Linked DNA regions of Lytechinus pictus. The protein of the gene in region 2 interacts with the protein of the main gene of each other region in a biochemical or structural test. Links are inferred from orthologs where the notes say so. Each region holds a gene or a part of one and is shown on either strand. Other genes may lie near its edges.

Evidence for each region.
Region 1: the proteins of elongation factor-like GTPase 1 (region 2) and ribosome maturation protein SBDS-like interact in a biophysical measurement, tested with the Homo sapiens proteins (2 studies listed by BioGRID and IntAct, with this or other methods). The link is inferred for Lytechinus pictus from reciprocal best matches to the Homo sapiens genes EFL1 and SBDS.

Annotation. Positions count from the first base shown.
Region 1 is NC_087246.1:13,038,072-13,049,363, reverse strand, and holds the start of ribosome maturation protein SBDS-like, read right to left. Parts: upstream 5,416-11,292; 5' UTR 4,894-5,415; coding exon 4,760-4,893; intron 3,690-4,759; coding exon 3,560-3,689; intron 3,069-3,559; coding exon 2,868-3,068; intron 1,867-2,867; coding exon 1,696-1,866; intron 1,045-1,695; coding exon 916-1,044; 3' UTR 1-915. UniProt on the Homo sapiens protein: Required for the assembly of mature ribosomes and ribosome biogenesis.
Region 2 is NC_087249.1:8,410,186-8,421,477, forward strand, and holds the start of elongation factor-like GTPase 1, read right to left. Parts: upstream 6,969-11,292; 5' UTR 6,803-6,968; intron 6,405-6,802; 5' UTR 6,386-6,404; coding exon 6,295-6,385; intron 5,925-6,294; coding exon 5,766-5,924; intron 3,409-5,765; coding exon 3,278-3,408; intron 2,019-3,277; coding exon 1,824-2,018; intron 507-1,823; coding exon 328-506; intron 1-327. UniProt on the Homo sapiens protein: GTPase involved in the biogenesis of the 60S ribosomal subunit and translational activation of ribosomes.

The DNA.
Region 1 (11,292 bases), on a different chromosome or scaffold from region 2:
TTTGTTTGATCTACAAGTAAACTAGCCTTGCAGGATTATGTCATTCTCTTCAGATGACTGAAATGTTTATAAATTGAAAGTATGCATTCTAATTTCTTTCACATCACCTGGTACCCATGTCTAGGAAGACTTATCTTTGATGAAATCATTATCATATTGCCAAGGCTCAGTATATACACCAAGAATCTTGTGTACTTACAGCAACCGTTCTCGTGACGAGGTACAGTGCGTACAAGTATAATGCCTTAAATATCAATACACAGTTAATGTATAGTGCAATCACATTTCACAAATGCAAGAATGAATCTTTAGGTCTGTATTTTGGACCACAGTTTAACTAAAATCAAGTTCTAAGTCTGGGAAATTAATCAAACTTATGGGAAGCTTTAAGTTTCCAGAATTTGTTTTCACTGTTATGCATTTTGTGTTTATTAGGTCCTTCCCCTGTTTTGATGACAATATTCAATGATATCTTTTCAAAATGTGATGATAAATTGATCATCTAATTATACGATTGGTGTCACCTTTGAATACCCATAGTTAAAACAAATAACCAGAGTTCAGAATATGGGCCTATGAAAGTAAGTTTTGGTTTTACTGAAAATCCCCTTTGATAAGAAATCTAGATGGTTAATGCATTCTCATCCATGCAACCAAATATTCATTGACCCATCTAAAATTGGGTCGGTTGTACAACATTCAATTGTAAACCCAAGATCGAACTCTGGTTATACCAAGAAAGAATCTCTGGTTGTACAACAACTCTGCCATAAATCCTACTTGGAGTTCGGAGCAAAAACTGGTGCATTCATCCACAGATTAACCCATTGCCGACTAGAACCTTGTGGGCCATGTACAATGTCCATGGAAATGATAGAGTTCAATAGTCGATGGGTTAAGAGTGATGAGGACGTTTCATTCTAATCTCTCATCTCCTTCTTCCACCTCCTTGAGACTGACTACCTCCACCATCCCCTTCCCTCTGGTACTCTCCTTGACCAGTTCCTCCATCTCTCTGTAGCATCCAGGATCAGCTAGGCATACCTATGATCAAAGAACAGTATCCATGTTTGATACATCGTGAGACAACTGGTTATTTCTTCTACTCAGTATCAATGTCATTATAAAGTCTAATCCTGAAATGCCACTTAGAATTTGTCAATTTTGAACCAAAAATATGTTTTTAGTGGAAGAAAAATTTACAAAACACTCCCTAGATATCAAAGAACAGTATATATATATATGTAGGCGTCCATCATAACATCTGTGTTCACATTTCTCTTCCTTGAAATTTAAAGAGTTTCTTTTGCAACATGATGACAGTCTGTCTATTTCATTCTGTCCTTTTGTGCTGACACCTTTATTATTTTCTGTTTTTACATGCTAGCAATTACACCTGAAATATGATCAGCAACACCAAAACAGCATGTTGTACAGCTCCTGCTGATAAATATTTGAAACACTGACTTTGAATGATCACTAAAATTGTAAAATTTGTAACATGATGACAATATGCAAACACTTAATACATTGAGTAATTGAGAAATTTACCCCTTGAATTTTAATCACCAATCACTCAACATGTCTTTTCCTGAAATGGGAAGAAAAAAGTAATCATTGCTAATTTGAGGGATAATATTTTAGACCATAATAATGCTCTATACTTCTGGGAGTTACTTAAACTTATGGACTTACCATTTCTAAACCATCACTGAAATGTTCCTCTTCAACTGTAGCTATGAGTTGGATCAGTTTGCTCTTCACCTTCTTGGCTTCTTTCCCTGGTAGAACAATCCTCAACCTCATCTGAGCACGATCTATTGCCATGGTCTCAGTCTCTCGAAGTTTCCTGATGACCTCCAGAGCCTTTCGCAGTGAAAAAATGACAAAGATGATGATAAATTTTTCTATAAATTTTTCTTCCCATAATCTTTACAAAGGTGAATAGAAATTTGTTTAATCCCACTTTCTTTAGAACAATCAATGATCTAATAGGCATTCTTTGTCAGAAATCTAGCTTAATAGGAACAAGGCATTTTTCAAAGCGGCTTTTCTGCATCCCCATTGTTTTGCCTAAGATGAATGTGATGATTAATAATAAAAAGGTGTTTGCCTAATCCCTGTATAAAAAAGGCTGATCAGAATTTTGTTGAGGTGCCTTAAATGAATATTTAGCAAATTCATATTGCATATCAAAGCCCATTTTGATTGCTTTCCATTTAGGCTAAATTTCCATATTGACCAATACAACTGATTGAATTTTCTAAATCCTTTAAACCTGTATTACCCACTTGGTATAAACCCGCTGTCTCACACTACTCTACCTCACCTCCATGGTTTAAATTCATTTCACCAATGACCACCTTGTCTCCTAACTATTTATTCTAATTACCAGTCAGCCCTTTCCTAAATTTCTAGTTCATAGGCTATGTCCATCAATGCCTTCTTAGTTTGTAATCACTTGGTCTATCTGGTTAGACAAACTTGTTATACACCAAAGGTGCATTAATTAAAATGGAGGAAATTAATAGTTGGAGGGGCAATCATACCATTAGATCATGAGACAAAACAATATTATTGATCAAGGTATGCTGGCATCAAGTGACTTAGACCAACGAAGATAACCCTATACTAGGCAAGCTAGACAAACCAGGCCAATGTAGCCTTAGTGGACAAAATAAAGTAATCAGGGGTCTGTAAACCAAATCTTTGTGATCAATCATATACTTGACTTTTACGCTTGATTGCACATAAGGATCTATGTAATCAAGCATCAACATCAGCCATATGATCAAACGCTAAGCTTTGTGTTACACCCCCAGGTCAGCAGTGGCAATGTTTAATTAAAGCTACACTATGGGACATACCTGTTGCTTTGTACTCCTGTTTGGTTTGACAGAGTAATGTATATCTTTCATTGCTCTTTCTATCATGCCTACAGTATACGGTCTCTTAGTGTTGGGGTTAACACACTTCTCAGCTACGATTGTTGCAATATCACGGAACATGGACTCAAGCTGCTGGCTACGCTCTTTGTCAGAGACCTGCAGTTCACCCTTGGCTAAAATCTAAAGAGGTGGGGACAAAAGGAGTATGTAGGATAAATGTCTTACAAGTTAAATGATATGGAAATACATCGATAACAACCGTGACTTTTAAGATAATATTGAAGTATTTACAGGTAATATTAGTCAGAACGCAACATTGGAGCAAAAATAAAGGCCTAGACAAAAAATGAAGAAAAAGATATGAAATTGAAATATAAACCATGTTTGAACAACAATGTGATATGATGATCCAAGATTTTAGCTTTTAGAAGTTTGATTGTGACCTTTTCAGTAGTCCTAATTGTAAAAAGGAGAGTTTTTCTGGTCAGATTGTATGTGTATGTACAGTATGTAGCCTAAGCATTTTTTTAAACATGGGATATCTACAATGTTGTGGAGGGTATTCTGCTTCTGTTCTGACTTCAAAACAGAAAAATGCAAGAAATATACATAAAAGACAGATACAATACCATTTACTGATCCTTTAAACAAATGAAGACATAATTACTTACTTGTTTGCAAATCTCTGTGGTATCTTCTGTTCCAAAAGCTTTGACAAGATCTTCTCTCTTGGCGACCTGACCCTTGGAGACATTCACAAATACTGAATGCGTTTGTAAAACCTCATCAATGTCCTTCTCTCTGTTTAAAAGAAATTTAGAAAATATTGATTTCATTAGATTTTAAGAATATTTAAAACTTCATTTCAAAACTCATTTCATATTAGATAGTGATGTATAATCTTAAGTTCCTGCATAAATCATTTGACTATTGATAAACAATCAATTATACAAAGTTCAGCCTTCAGCTACATGCTAGGACAGGACAGTGCATTATCAAACTAAAAAACAATTTTCTTGCAAAAAAAGCCAAAATTCTAAGAGTTCTAATGTTAAACTATTAATGATCAGCTTGACACAATCCCCTTCTCTCCTGAATTAAAATTCTGAAGTAAAAAAAAAACAAGATCAGATGGCTTGGGCTTGATGTAGTTAGATTCATCTTCATCAAACTTCATCAAGGCCAAGCCATCAAGAGGCAGAAAAGGACACACCCGACGATTCCAACAGCAGCACACAAACTCAGACTCATTTGCCAATTCTTCCTTCATCCAAACTATTAACCAGTGGAATGGCCTTCTAACTCTACCAGAAACTGTAGACCAGCCAATCAACAACTTTCAAAAATGCCCTCACTAAAGACCCAATAATTAACAAAATCTAGACCACACTCTAGCTCTACGGCACACCTCCAGTTAAAACTATTCTTTTTTGTTCTTGGAGTATTTTGGAGGAACATCATACCAAAAACCAAGTCATCATCATACTATATTCAGGGAATTTCAGGCACCACCATATCACCATGATTAAGATGACCATTGATATTTACACATCTTCACCAAACTTAATCTGTCATTACCTTTACCTTTATCCGAGATTCTGATATTGATCAATATCAAAAGTAAACAGCTCATCAAATATCATATCAGACATATACTATTATCATGATTATTATCATGATTATAGAGAGGACACTTGCCATAATAATCAACACTTTCATTGTGGCCATCAACGGGAAGACTAGACAATATCATTCAATTATCATGACTGGCATAGATCTAGAAATAGAATAACTTTATTCAGGCATCGTCATCATCATGATTATCCTCATCGACTACATCCATCCATTGTTATCATATTAAATTAACTTACACTTTATTTCTCCATGACATGACCTTGTTCTTGTAGCAGGCTATCTCAAATCTTTTACCAGTTTTCTTTATTCTAACGATGGCAACATTCGTTAACCGGATCTGATTTGTTGGAGTGAAAATTGTTCCAGACATAGCGTCAGAAGAAGTGTCCTGTTTTCGTCAATTGAATTTGAATTAACAATTTTTCTTGTCTAACAAAAGTTAGACCAAACTTATGTTACTGACTTAGATCTAACGTTAAATTTAGATCATGTAGATTGTGCTAAATTTTACTTTTTAGATGAGCTGGCTGAAAAATACTTGAAATGAAGGCAGGGAATGGAGGTAGCAAGCAAAGACTCAAGTTCTCAACTCTGACCGTGGCCGTGGCGTATAGTGCAACGAGCCAGTACAGTGTAATCATGTCGTCCCATAGAGATGTTACTAGTATACATCTCTATGTGTCGTCCGCAAGTGTTGCGCAATAACTGGTAACGTCGATCCGTCTTCTCGCCGCTCACTGCATGCATCGAACAGTTCATCGGTCCTCAAGTCATCATAACAGCCGAGAGACTCGGGCAGATTTTTGGTAATTTTACGCTCGACTCGACTGCCGCGCGTCATGCATGAACCGAGATGCATCGATGGGCCAGGCTCGCTCAACAAGATATATTTGCGTTACCGATTCGAAAATGATTTGATAATAAATCTATGATAAGTTTCGTATTATAAATAAATATTACAATTTTAAGTAATTCAATTTTAATCTTTATTACTTTAGCTGAATTTTTGAATAAAATATTCGAGTGATTACGAAATTTTGGATGCCTAGCTGACATAACAGCTGATAAATATAGTGATAGGTGACCTATGGCATATTGGCATTGCATCAGTCGATGAACGCCGGCAGGTGTCTGTAGCAGTGTAGGAAATCGATTAATTACCACGTCAACGATATCACTTTTGTTTAAAATTTACCACAAAAGAGGTAATCATGGCTGATTCTTGTATAGCAGGATTCGCCGAAGAACTGGACGATTTAGCAAAGGAGTATGAATCAATGAAGGTAATTTTCAATTAGCTGATCAAATTTTTTTCCGGGGCGGTAGTCTTAGCTACGGCCTACGCCTGCGCCTGCGGAGCCTGGCCCTGAGCCGTCCCGGGGCGAGGCTCTGCCTCGATCGCTTTGTCGCGCTGGGCCGGGGCCTGTTCCATGACAAGATGAGCGATACGTAGGAACGTCCTAGGACCATTCTTCCGAGATAGGAAGATTGGCGACAAATCAGCGCTTTCCGTTTCACGAAGGCAATTTTGTCTTCCAAGTCCGCGACATCGTTTGATATCGGACGATAGTGATGATATTGTTGTAGTAAGTCACCCCACCCCCCATATAGGTCTTCCACCGGGAGATGGCGCTGGACCCCTTTTAGACGCTGGAGGACGTTGGATCCCTTGGCTCATCGTATTTGAAGCTGAACTCACACGGAATAGACAGGAACTAGGACATCACTCCAGGAAAATACTGGTTAGTGACTTATTCCTTATATTCTAGCTTCAGGTATCAACCTAGTGCCTAGTGGTCAAGCTGGGGGCGCGACCGCTACAGTGGCGCTGCGAGCCTGACTGTGCCTGCTTTTGTGGGCATTTTAGGCCAAATTATTGAAATTAATTGGGGTATAATTGTCTCGCGGCGAGCTAACGGCCCCCTATTGCGCATCGGACGAGCAAATCCCTATGCCCCGCTGCGTGGGGGGAAATGGTCGCCGCTCGAGTACGAGAAATCAGTTTTAGATTGGGCTAATTACAGTTGATAAGGCTAGATTCAGACTCAGAGCCTTGTCGTATTGCGTATATTCTATGAATATTGTCCCTTGTTTCATGTTTGCGATTGTCCTGAATTGAGAGGTTAAATCTTGATTTGGGACATATTTAGGCAATCGTCCCCTGTCTTTTTTGGTAAGGTTTTCGTCGCGGGGACTGATGGTAGTTCCGGTCCCGTGACGGAAATTTCCAGAAAAGGGGGGAGAACACACGTGTTGTTGTGTTGTGAGTTTGTTTTAGTTTTGTGCTTTAATATCCGTTTTTAGTTGTGGACTGTGTTTCACGTTGGTGTGATTGTGTGATTTGCTTGTGATTTTGGGTGTTTGGATGATTTTTGTGTCGTTTTGCGAGTGATTTGTGAGTGAACTATTTTTGTTGGGGTGAGAGGTGCGTAAGAGTGTGTGTGTTCCGGCTAGGTAAAAGCGCGCGGCCCGATCCAAGATTTCACGGCGATCTATTGGCGGAGAGATATTATTGGTTCTCTCTGCCACCGACCGGCGCCATCTTGTTTTACATCGTCGGCTCAACGTTTGGGTCTAGTTTGAGATCCGAACTGACGTCAGGCCGGACCAATCCATCGCACGTATACGGGTAAACAACGGCGATTATTTGGGCGAGTAGGACGGGAAGCCAGACTGACCAACAAAGGTAGGGCATTATCCCAATCCTCTCTTGCCTGCCTATTTCGGATATTTTGAATTTTGTGTGGTGTTTTAGGGTGTTTTGTCCAAATTTTGGGGGAACGTTTTGTACTCGAAGCTGGGTAGAATTCACGGTAATTATCGAGATCTAACCAGTTAGACCGCCCGATCATTTCCGGGTTTGACGTTAGATCCAGTGCAACTGTGCACGACCATTGGTTGTGTATTGCATACCGTAATAGGTTGGTTTTTGGTGCCAGTGTGTAGTGTTGTGTTGCGTGTGGACCCACCCACTTGTTGTAGCGGGGAGTCCGTTGCCAAATAAATAAAAGAAATAAAAAAAAAAATTTGGAGAGAGTGTGGGGCGACTGTGTATGTGAATAAGTACATGTAATTTGTCTGTGGTGTGAGCGGGCACTAGTCACTAGCGTGATTGAGGACAGAACCAGCTTCGAGGATTAATAAAATAAATAGCCTAGGTAAATTAATAAAAGACAAGTTAGGCTTAACGTTAGAGGTTAATATAAATATTTTTAGAGCTACAATTATTCTTTTTGGCAGTGCTTGTGCAAACTATTAGCCACAACCGGACTAAACTAATCTAATTAATAATAAAAGCTAGAATTTTATACCATAAATTGGGTTTGCATTTGGACCTAATTTTTTGGGATAGCTTTTTTGGATAACTTTAGCAGGTTTTTGGTCGGGCTTATCGCTGTGCCTAACCATTGACTGTTAAAGGTATAATTTTGGACTCTTTACCGGTTGTTAGTTGCTAAAAAGAAAATAAAACGAAGTTTATACCATAAATTGGGTCTGCATTTGGACCTAATTTTTTGGGATAGCTTTTTTGGATAACTTTGGCAGGTTTTGGTCGGGCTAATTACTGTGCCTAACCATTAACTGTTAAAGGTATATTTTTGGACTTATACGGTTTTATAATTTTAGTTGCTAAAAATAAAAGAATTGTTATAAAATAAATTGGGTTGGCATTTGGACCTAATTTTTTGGGATAGCTTTTTTGGATAACTTTAGCAGGTTTTTGGTCGGGCTTATCACTGTGCCTAACCATTGACTGTTAAAGGTATAATTTTGGACTCTTTACCGGTTTTTATAATTTTAGTTGCTAAAAAATAAAAGAATTTATTGGGACCACTTTCAGATAAATTTAAGTAGGTTTTTGGTCGGGCTTATTATTGTGCCTAACCATAAGCTGATTGGGGTATACATTTGGACCTTTTTGTAATTTAGTTGCCAAAAGGAAATAAAAGAAAGAATTTAATAAGATAGGTTGAGACCTAGTTTTAGAATAGCTTTTGGATAATTTCAACAGGGGTTTGGTTGGGCTCAGTATTGGGCCTAACTGAACCTTGCTAGGATAACACCAATTAGGGTAAGCACAACATGGACGGGGAAGAGAAAATCCCCATTAATGTGTGCTCCTTTGAGGAGTTTAGGTTGCTAGGGCTAAGTCCAGCTCTAGCAGGGATAATCCAGGGGATTAGACTTGATCATGGGGAGATAACCCCCAAGCTTTTCGAAAGCAGCCCAGCGCTATGCAGCAATAGGGAGCTAGCACAAAGAGTAGACTTTTCGGGGGGCACCCAGGGGGTAGAGGGCAGTATTTTTATTACCCCTAGGGGGCGCATCACTGCGGGCACCCGTAGCGAGTCTGACCTGAATGGGGTGGCAGGTTCCAGGGGTGTTTACCCCTATGACCAACACCAGCCCCCTAGGTCAAGTCAAAGTAACCAGTCTAGTGGGTCCTGGGGCACCAGCTCATCTCACTTCCGGGAGGAGCGGGGGCATGAGCCCCCAAGCACCAGAGGGGGAGATATGGGGAGTGGTGTAGAGCCTAGGTTTAGGCTCAGGAATCTAGTTGGCGAGGAGGCTAATGGTGCCTCTGTCAATAGATTTATGCAGGCGAGTGGCGATTCAAGCGAATGGTCTGGGGGCGATGACCCCACCACCAAGCAAGCGGTAGCCATGAGGTCCAAGGTAGGTGAAGGAAGGGGCTCCTTGGCCCCACCCCCTACCCCAGATTTCAGCGCAAGGAATGTGCGGGCGGGTATGACACGCCCAGCCCAGTACAGTTCGTCTTCGCCGCCTAGTAGCCCGGCTGCGTCACCTGCGAACTCTAGTGCTTCCTCGGGAAGGGGGACTGGCGGTGGGTTACCATATTACACGCTGCCAAAGTCCCTCACTTTCGACGGCAAGGGTAACTGGAGGGCTTTCTTTAGGAAGTTCTCCGCCTTTGCTGATCACCATAATTGGAATGCCGCGGAGCGCGTAAGCCAGCTATACTGGGGCCTGAAAGGGAAGGCAGAAGATTATCTGTTAATGGTCCTAGATCAAGAGCCCAATATGCTTTATGCAGACTTGATAGTCAGGCTGCAGCACAGGTTCGGGGAGGAAGGTCTTTCCGAATCTGCTCAGCTGGAGTTTGTGGCGGCCAAGCAGGGACCCACCGAGTCCCTGCCGGAATGGGCCGACCGGGTACTCCAACTATCGGCGCGTGCATTTCCAGGGGTCAATGGGTCCTACCCGAATAGACAGGCGGTCCTTCGCCTGTGCCAGGGCGCCCTCAACCGAGAGGCGGGGTGCCACGCGCTTACGCGGAATCCATCTACCGTGAATGAGGCGCTTAAGTATATTGAGTGGCACCAACACGTGCACCGCGCAATGTACGGGCGTCCCAAGAAAGTGTCTAAGGCTAATGAAGGGGAGGTCCGTAAAGTGGAACTGCCCCAATCCTCTTGTAAGGCTGAAGGGGAGGCGAACAATGCAGCCCTTGAGCGAAGGTTGGTGAACCTAGAACGCAAGACCGATGAACGCTTGGGCCACATCGAGCGGGATCTGCAGCGTCTGGGTGGTTTGGAACGGGACCTCAAGAAGGTCCTGGAGGCTATCCAGACTAGGCCCCAACCAGCGCGTGAACGCGGGAGGTCACCCGGTCGGGACCGGTGCTATGAGTGCGGCGGGATTGGCCACTACAGGAACAATTGTCCTTCGGTCCAGGAAAACAGGGCCAAGGTACAAGTTTCCTTTGTAGGGGACCAGGAGGAGGAAAACTCCAGCGGGTCGGAGGAGCTGGCCAGCCCCCGGCCCCCACCGCCAGAGGCCAAATAGAGGGTTCCAAGCTAGCAAGCAGCTCAGAGGGGCCATCCGTAGGCTCATCTGAAGGAATAACAGAGGGCGTGTCGGAGCGCCTGATAGTCCCAGGGAATAATGTAACCGGAATAGCTACTTATGTAGAGGCTGCGGCGGGGGATCCAGTTGGTCCCTCGAACACCCGAATATCAGACCTGGGTGAAGCCATTCTGGAATCAGTTCCAGATGCTCTCCCTGGGCTTGGGTGTGCAAGCGAGATTAAAGAGGTAGTGGTGTGTAGGTTGGAGTCGCGCTCTACTCTCAAGGTCTCAGATGTTATAGGGGGGCAGCCAGTAAGCGCAGTTGTCGATACCGCAGCCGAGGTGTCCATCATCTCGGATAGGCTCCTGCAGTCACTGGACCCCCAGCCCCCTAAACTGAGAGAAGTGATCCTACATGCAGTTGGACGGGATATGAAGATGAGAGGGACAATTGTCGGTCCCCTTTCAATAGAGCTTGGGAACCAGACATTCTCGGAGGAAGTATATGTAGCCCCTATAGCTGATCGTATGCTCCTGGGATTAGATTTCCTCAGCAAGCGCAAGGCTGCGATTCACCTCCTAGATCCGCATATGCAGTTGGGAGGTCAGAGGATTCCACTTTGGTATAGTGATGACCCTGGGCGGCAGATTGCCCGGGTTCATTTGCACAAGCGAGTAATTGTTCCTCCGAATGCAGTCAAGCGGATCACCGGCATTATAGACCAACGTTTAGGGGATTTCATGTTTAACCCTTAGGATGGCTTACTGCTCCTAGTTCCCGGTTCGGTTTACAGGGCTGGGAAAACAGCACCTATCTGATAGGTACCTTAAGGTAACCTGCTCTGAGGTGCTGGGGGAAGCTGAAAAAATTGAAGGGAAGGGAGACGGGATCGCTCCCTGTTGAAAAATGGGTTCACCTGGATCGCGGTTCCTCTACCAGATTACAGGCAAGCAGCCGT
Region 2 (11,292 bases):
GTCATGTGCTAGGTAGCAACCTCTAAAGCTAGGGTTACACTGGAACCAAATCAGCAGCGAATTCATCAAAATACACGTATTCAGGTGGTTTTGGGAGTATTCTGTTCTCCTTTCGCACATGCGATTAAATTTGGGAGGGATACAAGAATATTTGAATCCACCAAAACTATCTGAATCAGGCCGTATTTGGGCAGAATCAGTCTGAATTTATTCGGGAGAATTTGGTTTTGGTGTAACCTGGCCTTAAAGGACAAGTCCACCCCAACAAAAAGTTGATTTGAATAAATAGAGAAAAATGACCTTTAATAATGCAAATCATCTCCATACCTGAAACCCCATCCGTCCAATGCACTTGCAAAGACGACATTTCCTTGATCCGGTGAGAAATATATATGAGAGTCATCGGTGTCCTCCAAACCATCGCTCCAATCATACACCTGCTCTTCTACATCCTTACTCTCCCCAACACTCACTTTTTCTTTAGTCTGAATGGGGTCTTCACTTTTCTGAAACATGAGAGACAAATGACCATTATTAAAAGTAAAAGTAAAATGATGTAGTTGCACAGCAAACAATTATCTCATTATAAAGTCTCTAAAATAATGGTTGATTGTCACTCTATTATCAAAGGTCCAGATCTGGTACATTGACATAAACTTATCTTTGTGAAATCATGAAATCTTAGGTGAAAACTGACAAAACTTGTGATCACTAATACAGAAAAGCATTTATGTGAGACAGTGTATTAACATTGCTTGGAAAAACACCCAACAATTGATGGAATTCTTTAGTTTATTATGCTCATTTCTCAGCAATTACACATTTTCTCCAATAGCCATTTGGCACATATTTTTTACTTATACATACAAACACTTCGGTGGTCATTTCGTTGGATTCTGTTTGAACTCACTTTGAGATTGTTACCACAACTGCCACTTATCTTAAATTTCAATAAAAATTTAAATCACATTTCCTCTATTTTAAACATAATAAAGGCTATCATTTCTACAGAACTAAAAGCATAAACCCTTTGTTCTTTTCTATAGGATAATGAGATTCAATTACACTAATGAACAAAAATATTGTTCTTTAGCCACATGGGGTATATCCTGATAGCAGAGTGAGATAATATAGGAGTGCCTTGAGCATCTAACAAGGGTGGATACGTGCACTATATAAATCCTATATTATTATCACTATTATATCATATAAAAATATTTGTCTTGTACATTACAATCAATCTGATAATCACCACAACAATCATAAAACAACCAGACTATTATTGTGAAATGAAATTTGTCTATTGAAACAGGAAAATGTAAAATGTTATCATAATCATCAAATATGCCAAACAAATAGAATTTGCTCTAAATTGCATCTGGTTACTATAAACCGAGAAGCAGAGAGATTGTTGCAAGAAACTGATCTGCAATCTATTACAAATTTGTAGCTGACTGGCTGATATTGAATATTACTTTTACAGGACCACATTGCACAAAAGTTACTCTTATGGTAACTGTGCTATCCAATGGTAACTTTCAGGGATTCCTTGAGTTTGATTGACTGTTTAGCATTGTTGCCATGGTAGTTACCATTGGATGTCAAAGTTACCATAATAGTAACTTCTATGCAACAGGTCCCAGCAAATCAAGTCGACCTTTTGGTAACCAAAAACAGACCATCAAATCAACTTCAAATCCACAATTGAGTGAATCAATTTATGACCTAAATCTGACTTGCATAGAACTGCAGCACAGGTACAGAGGCATAATGCCTATAAATAAAACCATTACAGAAGCGGCATGGTCAAAGTGAACACCTACGCTTGAAGCTTTCTCCAGGACATGTGAAGCGTAGAGGTTTCCTACGACAGCATTGACTTGCTCCAGGACCTGCTGAAGATGAAGATGTGCTTCCATCGGTGTGTACTTGAGCTCACTGATCAACCGATCTATCTTGTTCAGCACCAGGCAAGGTTTGATGTGCTCCAGCCAGGCCTGCCTTAAGACGACATGAGTCTGAAGGGGTGATAATACCAAGGCATTGGTGAATTGTATCTCGACGATTGCAAAATTTACTAGAAATATTGTGGTCGCCGTTGCCACACAGCAGAATTGCACCAACAGCTTACTGTGAAATATCTGCCATAGCGACTCCCATAAAAATTGCTTATCATGTGACAGTTTTGTGATGGTAGGGTAGGGCTGGATATGGATCCCTAAGTCCTGTCTTCATACTTGGTGGGCGGGACAATAAAAACACAGCTTATAAAGAGAAAAATATATCCACCAATATGGTGGGTGTTAAAGGCCCTCAAAATGAACAACACTAACTAAACTTACAAAAATATACAAGATACAATTATAATATTTGTAATCATAATTAAAGTAGAATACATGTATACACAATCTCTGATTTCTTTGATTTACATTAAAAAAAACAACAAGCTATATATTATTATTAAGCATTCAATGAAAGATCAACAATAAATGATAATGTGGTCTGCAACTATATGCTAAGCTCATGAGGTTAAAATAAATAAACTGGAAAATCTCTAATCTTCAAAATCCTAAACAGGCGATCAGACACCTTTGTGTACGTATGGTAACTGCAGTCAAACCTGTGTTATCGGCCACATGATAGCAGTCACCTGCCTACAGTAACCACCAAATCTGATTCCCATGGAGGCAGATTGTGTGTATAAGAACCTGTCTATAGCAGCCACCTGTCTATTGTGACCACTAAAACTGACTCCCATGAAGGATTGTGCGTGTAAGAACCTGTCTATAGCAGCCACCTGTCTATTGTGACCACCAAATCTGATTCCCATGGAGGCAGATTGTGTGTATAAGAACATGTCTATAGCAGCCACCTGTCTATTGTGACCACTAAAACTGAATCCCATGAAGGCAGATTGTGTGTATAAGAACCTGTCTATAGCAGCCACCTGTCTATTGTGACCACCAAATCTGATTCCCATGGAGGCAGATTGTGCGTTTAAGAACCTGTCTATAGCAGCCACCTGTCTATTATGAACACTAAAACTGACTCCCATGGAGGCAGACTGTGTTTGTAAGAAGTTGTGTGTAGCAGCCACCTAATTTGTGTGCTTCCCATGGGTGGCCACTATAGACAGGTTTCACTGTAAATATAAACTCTACTTTTTAATTCTATGCAAAGCTGCAAATGAGTATACACAGGTCCAACTGGCCAAGAGGCTCCCAATTATCATTTACGAATCACCAATCTTTAAAAAAAAGAGACATAGAAAACGGACCTGTGGGCAGACGCCTTCTACGACATCGATGACTACTAGGGCTCCCTCGCACAGCCTGACAGCAGTAGAAACTTCACTGGAAAAATCCACATGCCCCGGGGAGTCGATCAGATTCACCAGATACTCCTCTTCTGTGGATGAAATAAGAAAATTCAACACTGACCTCATTGATAATGGAATAACAACAACAGCAATATGGATTTCTAAGACACTATGGCCCGTATTCTGAAGTCGAGTTTGAATTAAACCCAGGTTTAAAGTTGTGGTTTAAGCATGGATAGCCAATTGTTACATAATTATAAATCACTAACAGTAGAGATATATATATACATATTTCAGCTCATTTGGCCCTAAAATCATTCATAATTGTCTAGGAAGTATAAATAGATGATTGTATTCACCATCGATGAATCAGGAAAGAGCACAGTAAACATAAGAACAGGGTCGGAATTACACGGGGGCGACGGGCGAATTTGCCCCCATGACAGCCCAAATCGCCCCTAAAAATTCTCAAAACACAATGCTTTGGGGCGACTATTTATTTCAGAATCGCCCCAATAAAATACCATCGACAATGTAAAAAATACTTCACATAATTACGTTCTCTGGCGGCGGAACAAGTGCATCTTTTATATCGCCCTTGCCAGCTTTAAGTTGAACGGTCGATGCAATATCCGAACCTTCCGTAACACCGGAAGCTTCGCGATAGTAAATAAACGCGCAATGCAATATGGGATGCGGAGTACGCATAGTCTTTAGCACGGGGTTTTTAGAATTGTTGACGCACTTGCCGCATGGCTTATGTACATGTACACGTGCACGATTAGACTGCACAGCTGGTAACGAGACCACGTACATCGTACGGTATATTATGTGTACTAGGCATGCACAGAAGTATGCAATCAGCTGGTGATTGTGACAGCGCTGATTATCGACATCGTCGAGTCGGAGTGCGAGATGGATAAGTTTCTAATTCGAGTTCAACCTGGCTCTGCCAAACGGCCAGAGCCAGAAGCCTCTCCAAATCGAGATACTGTTGAGAAGGATAAGCCAAAAAAGAAACAGTACTGTACAGAGACAATCGACAATAAAGTCTTGGACTTGGGGCCTCGATTGGCTGGAATCTGAAGTGTGTGAAGCTGAAGACGACAGCGTACCTACGGGGGGGGGGGGGGGCAGGGGGCAGTCTGCCCCCCCTGACGAGTCACAACCCATGCACTTTTTTTGGGGGGGGTACAAAATCCTATATTTGTGGTTGAAGACTTTTTTTTTGCTTGTCACATTATTGGGCGGACGAATTTGCCCCCCTGTGAAAAATCCTAGGTACGCCACTGCTCTGGTGGGATCACTGTTGTTTATTGTAAGGCCTGTAGCCTACAGTAATTACAGATAAACATGTTCTGAGCCTCTAGGCATCACATTGAGTCTCGGAATGTCAAAAGGTAATTGCTGATATAATGCGATAAAAAAAGTAGCCCCATGAATTAGAAAATAGCCCCAAGATATTCAGTGGTAGCCCCAATGTAAAAAAAAAAGTAGCCCCTAAAAAAAAAAATTAATTCCTACCCTGCATAAGAAACATACAACTTTGGACACTTTTGGCTTCCCATAATATGAGCAGAGAGTTAGACCATGGTCTAAGATAAACCATAATAAGCAAGCTATTAAAAATTACAACAATATTGGCCATGATGTACAATTAGGTGGTGAAAAGACCTATCATGGTTTTATGAATATGGGCCCTTGACTCTATAGTCTGTAGACCCTTGGTTTTTGCAATTTCCCAAAGTGCATAATGCAGAGTCTGAAGTGGCGAGACTAGATTCACTATGTACGGTGGCTGGCTCTGACACAGAGAGAGAGAGAGAGACTTCGGAGTCTAGTCTTCACTCTAGACATGGTTTTAGTTAAACTGTCAAATATGAGTCTGTGCCTGCAGACTACCTTGACTCACTGACAGAGGCACATATGTGAGGAAAACAAATAGGCAAAACTAAAAGCAAAGTAATGTAATTTTCAAATATATGTAACAAGCAATCTTATTAACTAATACGCAGTAGTATGCATCCTCTTCACATGATTTGATCAATGCAGTGATACCTCTGCCACACACAACTTGGGATTTTAATGCGAATTTAAGCCACACTTTACAATTTTTAAAACACCCAAATGATCGAATGGCAAGAGCAAGAAGTGCTATTTATTGCCTGCCATTATGTAGTTACACTCAATCTTAATATTTTGTGAAACAGCCCTCCTGGATATAATGTTTGCAAGCATGGAACAAACCTGCAGGCAAAAGAATAACTTCATTTTCTGGGCCTTCTTTTCACAATCTACTGGCTAAACCTGCTACAACATTGGATAAGCTTTAACATTTCAGAGAATGTGGACTTTCCAGTGTTTTTTTTTTTCATTTTCCAGGGCTCTTTCAGCATTTTGGGGGGCGAAATCACCTCTAGCCCCGATGTAACTTTTTCCATCGTACCTGGAGTATTGCTATAGAGAAGGGAGATGGCGCTGGATTTCATGGTGATGCCTCGTAGCTGTTCATCTTCGCGGCTGTCCATGTACCTCAGCTTGCCGGCCATACGGGTGGATATGATCCCATTACTGGAGATGAGAGCATCTGCCAAGGTAGTTTTACCTGAACAGAAAAAAAAAATCGAATAGAGTATTCAAGCTTGATAATATTCTGTTTAAAGGTAAAAGAATGTTGTTGCAGCAAGCAATTTTTTTCATGAGAAAGTCTTTAAAATCAAGGTTGATTGTCACAGTATTATCATAGATCTAGATCTGGTATTTTAACGTAATCTTTACTTTGTGATATCATGAAATCTTAGCTGTTATTATACTAGTTATCACAACATTTCAAAACTTAACCTTGGACAAGATTTCAATGTTGACAATGTCGTCGGTAAAGCAGCACCTATAGTCTTACTCTGCAATGCAGAGCTGGGCATGTCAATGATACTGCATTTCTTTGAACATACAGCTTTAATATTCATGCGGCTTACCATGATCAACATGTGCTAAGATACAAATGTTTCTGATCTTGTCAACATCACTCTGCAATTGGGCAAGTTTCTGAATGGAGACAGATCTCATGATTCTTTGTCGCTATTAGCTGTAGAAGGAAAAAAAAAAGAAATGTTTGAGGTTAACATGAAGTCCATCCCAACAAGAAATTAATTTGAATTAGAGAACATTAAACAAGCAGTGTACAGAAAATTGATTATAAATGAAACATGAAAGTTATGACATTTTGAATCAACACTCGATATCACAAATCTGCTTCACACAGCATTTGGTCAGGCTTGGTGGCAACATACCAGTTAGGCCCTTACCCCCAAGTAAAAAAAAATAGAGTTTATTTGACATAACCAAAATGACCTGCATAAACCTTGCAGATTTAATTTTCATAATGATTTGAATAAAAGACAATTTGCTGACAAACCCAAGTTGGTAAATGGCACAACAATAGAACATCATCTCATGAGTAAAGGTGGCTTACGTCTAACTCACCATTGATCACCACTTTACTTGCTTATCATACAGAGTCTAGTTGGAAGATGATGTCATCAAGATGGTCACTTATGACTACCGTCAGTTTTTAGTGAAGTGGGAATGATCACCAACTTTCCTGAATAACGTAGGAGCGCGGAAGGAAAACCCGGCCTGAACACGGACTGCAAGGTTTAGCAAAAAATAAATTTCTGAGTCATGGACCCACCCGGAACTCAGACAACACTGCCACTGCAGCTTTTGCACCTGGCAATTTTTGTCTGAATTTTTTCCCAAGTATTGATCCTTAACCTGATTTTCAACCACATCGAGCATCAGGAACACCTTTATTTTGGCTTCAACCTTGATGCCATCGTTCAAATTCTCAGATGCCTACACTCATCTCCGCTGAATACTACACGGCTAGTTTTGATATGGGCTGAAGTTAAAAGTCCTGCCCACCCGTTTGCATAATTTTGGTTGCGTACTTCAGTCCATATTGGAATTTACAGCAAAAGCAGAAGCCACGAAACCTGACCATGCTGACTGAGAATTTAAATGTTTCCAATTCAATTCAGTAGGATACAAGGAATGAATCTGAGTATGAGAGTCTTTAATACTTTAGCATGATTTAGTGAACTGGTTTATTACCGGTGCACAAGTGCCCTATTGAGGTGGGTCAGGGGGGGGGGGAAATTATTGTCATCAAAGCTGTGTTAAAAACAATGTAAAATTTGGGAAAGAGCAATTGCAATGATAGTCTGTTAGCATGGTTAGACCTAACCCAATCATCTAACATGGGTACCTTCGAGGTTGGGGTAGCAAAAACACCCAAAAATTAAAGAAAAAAATGAAGTCATGCACCCACCTCAATTCTATGGATGAAGGCCTAACCGACAGCAGAATCCTGACATCGAGGCAGTAGCCAGTCCCTCAAAAAAGAGGGGCAAAGGCCGCGTTCGTTCACTCGCTTTCAAAATTGCAAACAAAACTGGCCAATTGATTTACCGATGGCGTATGTGCAAAGAAAACAGATTTTGAAGAAAAATAAATAGACTCAGCCAAATTCGCACATGCGCCCTTGGTATATCGATCGGCCACTTTTTTTTGCAATTTTTAAAGCGAGTGAACGAACGCGGCCTTTTCCCCCTTTTTTTAGGGTCTGGTGCTGGCTACTGCCTCCATGTCAGGTCTCAGTATTCTGCTGTCAGTTAGACCGTCATCCATAGAATTGAGGTGGGTGCATGATTTCTCTTTTTTTCTTTAATTTTGGGTGTTTCTGGTACCCCAACCTCGAAGGTACCAGTACCCATTTTAGAATGCTACCTGTGGCAGCCTACTGTTTGACATGGTTACCTTCTGGGCTCCAGCCTGCGAAGGCGCGGGCCTCTGGCTTAGCTTAGCTCTCTCTGGGTTAATTAGATTAACATTACTTAGGCCCACTTGCTCACTGCAACCTTCCTGCATGTGGGGAATCTACAGGTAGATGTAGGACTATGGTATGCCAATGCATTACACAGCACACATTTTAAAACATCATTTAAATATCACTTTTGGGAACAAAAACACTAATATTGATACAGTTGCAATTTATTTTTCATTGGTAACTTGGGAATAATTTTTTTATTCACCAAAGTGCTCAAAAACTTGAATTTTTTGCATATTTTTGTGTATGCCTCTATTGGTGGAAAGTAATATGGCAAGAAAATTGTCTTTTTCAATCTATATTTTTAATTTAGAGAAAATTAAAAGAATCAAATTTACTTAAAGGTCAAGTCCACCCCGGAAAAATGTTGATTTGAATAAATAGAAAAAAAAACTAGCATAACGCTGAAAATTTCATCAAAATCGGATGTAAAATTAGAAAGTTATGGTATTTTAAAATTTCGTTTATTTTTCACAAAACAGTGATATGCACAGCTTAGTGGCATGCAAATGTGAGAGTTGGTGGTGTCCCTCACTCACTATTTCCTTTGTTTCTTATTGTTTGAATTATACAATATTTCATTTTTCACAGATTTGACAATAAGGACCAACTTGACTGAACCATGTAGTATTAAATAATGCTAATTCCACATGTTCCTAAGGGAGGAATTAATTGTTGTTTCACTTGACACTGAGGAGAAAATCAGAATATTTCATATTTTGATATAATAAAATACAAAAGAAATAGTGAGTGGATGATGTCATCAGTCTCCTCATTTTGCATACCGACCAGGATGTGCATACAACTGTTTTGTGAAATTAAGCGAAACTTTAAAATGTCATAACTTTCTTATTTTACATTCGAGTTTGATGAAATTTACAGTGTTATGCTTGTTGGATTTTTCTCTGTTTATTCAAATCAACTTTTTGTTGGGGTGAACTTGTCCTTTAAGAAACATTGCCAACCTTATTTTGCCTCACATGGACTGATGGAGGAGTAACAGAGAACAAGGTTATATCATAACCAGACTTATGACGGTGTTGAGAAACGAGCCCCAAAGTTCTAACTCGATCTGTACAGGGACTCATTGGCCATATGTTTAAGTATTAAGTTCAGATAAACCAGGGAAGTGGAAGTTGCACGACAGCCGAAGTAAGTCACTGTTTTTTTTCCCGTTAAGTTAATTTTTTTCCTGTTTTGGTGCATTTCAGGCCAAAACGGAATAATAATTATTATTTGGTCCAGCTCTTTTTATAAATTTTTATGAAATAATGACAAAAATCGATAAGCCCCGTCAGCGTATTTTGCATTGTTAACCCCTTAATGGCGGCTGCACGATCACGAGCTGTCTGTGTACGAGTAGACCAAAAGCTTCGGTCTGTTATATTGCTGTTACGCTGAACTCCGTTAGCTCCACTCACCAATTACAGAGACCGTAGTTCTAACTCGATGTGTACAGGGACTCAATGGCCATATTGTTATGTGTAAAATGGGATAAACCAGGGAGTGGGAGTTGCGCAACAGCCGAAGTAAGTCACTTTTTTTCTTTCTTTTAAGTTTATTTTTCCCCGTTTTGGTGCATTTCAGGCCAAAACAGAATAATAACCTTCATTTTAGTCCATTTCTTTTTTGTATTTTTATGAAATAAAGACAAAAATCGATGAGCCCCGTCGGGGGAATTTTGAATTGTTAACCCCCTAATGGCGGCTGCACGATAGCGAGCCGTCTGTGTATGAGAAACAAAAAAATTTTAAAATGTTAAAAAAACTCCTCGAAACAGACGGCTGCCAGCTGTCTAGTGTACGACTACGAGAAATACAAAATGTTGATACTAGGGTGTCTGAAGCCACACTGAAAAGTGTCAGCATAAAACAGGCTGATTTAGGGGAAAATATGGCACATTTTTTCGGGAAATTCAGGCTGCTAGAAAAATGTGATCTGAATTGATTATTAACTTGTGTTTGGCATGTATGGAAAGAGAAAATTCAGGGGCTTCTTTTGACAGTAAGGACAAGTTTATATGATCATTTTAAATAAGGATTTAGAGATAAATTGCAAACCCTTATTTGTGTGTGTGTTGAGATTGCCATTTCCCCATGCGTTTTCTATGGGAAAATGAAATGTCTGTTTTGCACAATTTTTTTTCACTTTGTCGCAATTTTTCATTGTGATCTGGTTTCCAAATCTTTATAAAAATCATACCATCAGAAAGAGCATAAAAAATCCTATTGGACTCTTTATGGACAAGTTTTTAGCATTAATGATAAATTTATAACAGCTCTCGGAAGCTAAAAATTTGGAATTGTGTGTGTCCATTTCTTAACTACACAGTCTATGGGAGTATGGCAGAGAAATGCTGAAAATTGACCTAATTTAATTCTTCTATTTTGCAGCCAATAATTTGATTTTTTTTCCAAAAATGTTACATTTCTGTCAGTCTGAAGGTCATTTCTCTTCAAATTCACAAAGAAAATGTGATATTTTCTTGAAATAAGAAAAATATTTTTAATTAATAGTAGCCTAATACTCGAAAAAGAAGGCAGTATCTTTCAATTCAAAGAGCAAGAAAAATAATAAAAATATTGGCTATTATTAGTCTTGAGGACTCCATGATGATGTCTTTTAAAACAAATTTGACATATACTTCTCCATCATGGAGTCTTGAATCCCTTCCCATACATGCATAAGAGAATCTTGTAAACACAGATGGATTTCCCCAGGAAATCCATCTTTTTTATTAAAAATCACGAAAATTAGCAGGATTTTATTATTCTCTACACCTTCCTACGCCTAATGCATAAGAAGGTTTAAAAAAATATTGAATAAAAATACGTAAAAATAAAGGTTTCTTACCAGACCGATGTCGTGTAGATCCTTCGCTCCACATGTACACAGCGCAAATACAATGGCGACGACCCTTGAACCGCTTATGTATGACGTACATGTACGTAGGTAAACACAGAGAGAAATAGTGCACATGCGTAGCTTATTGTGCTAGTACAAGATTCCCGGCCGACGTCGTGCAGAGGTCAAACATTCTTATGATAATGACGAGTTTAGCGCTCCTAATCTTGTACGTGCACAA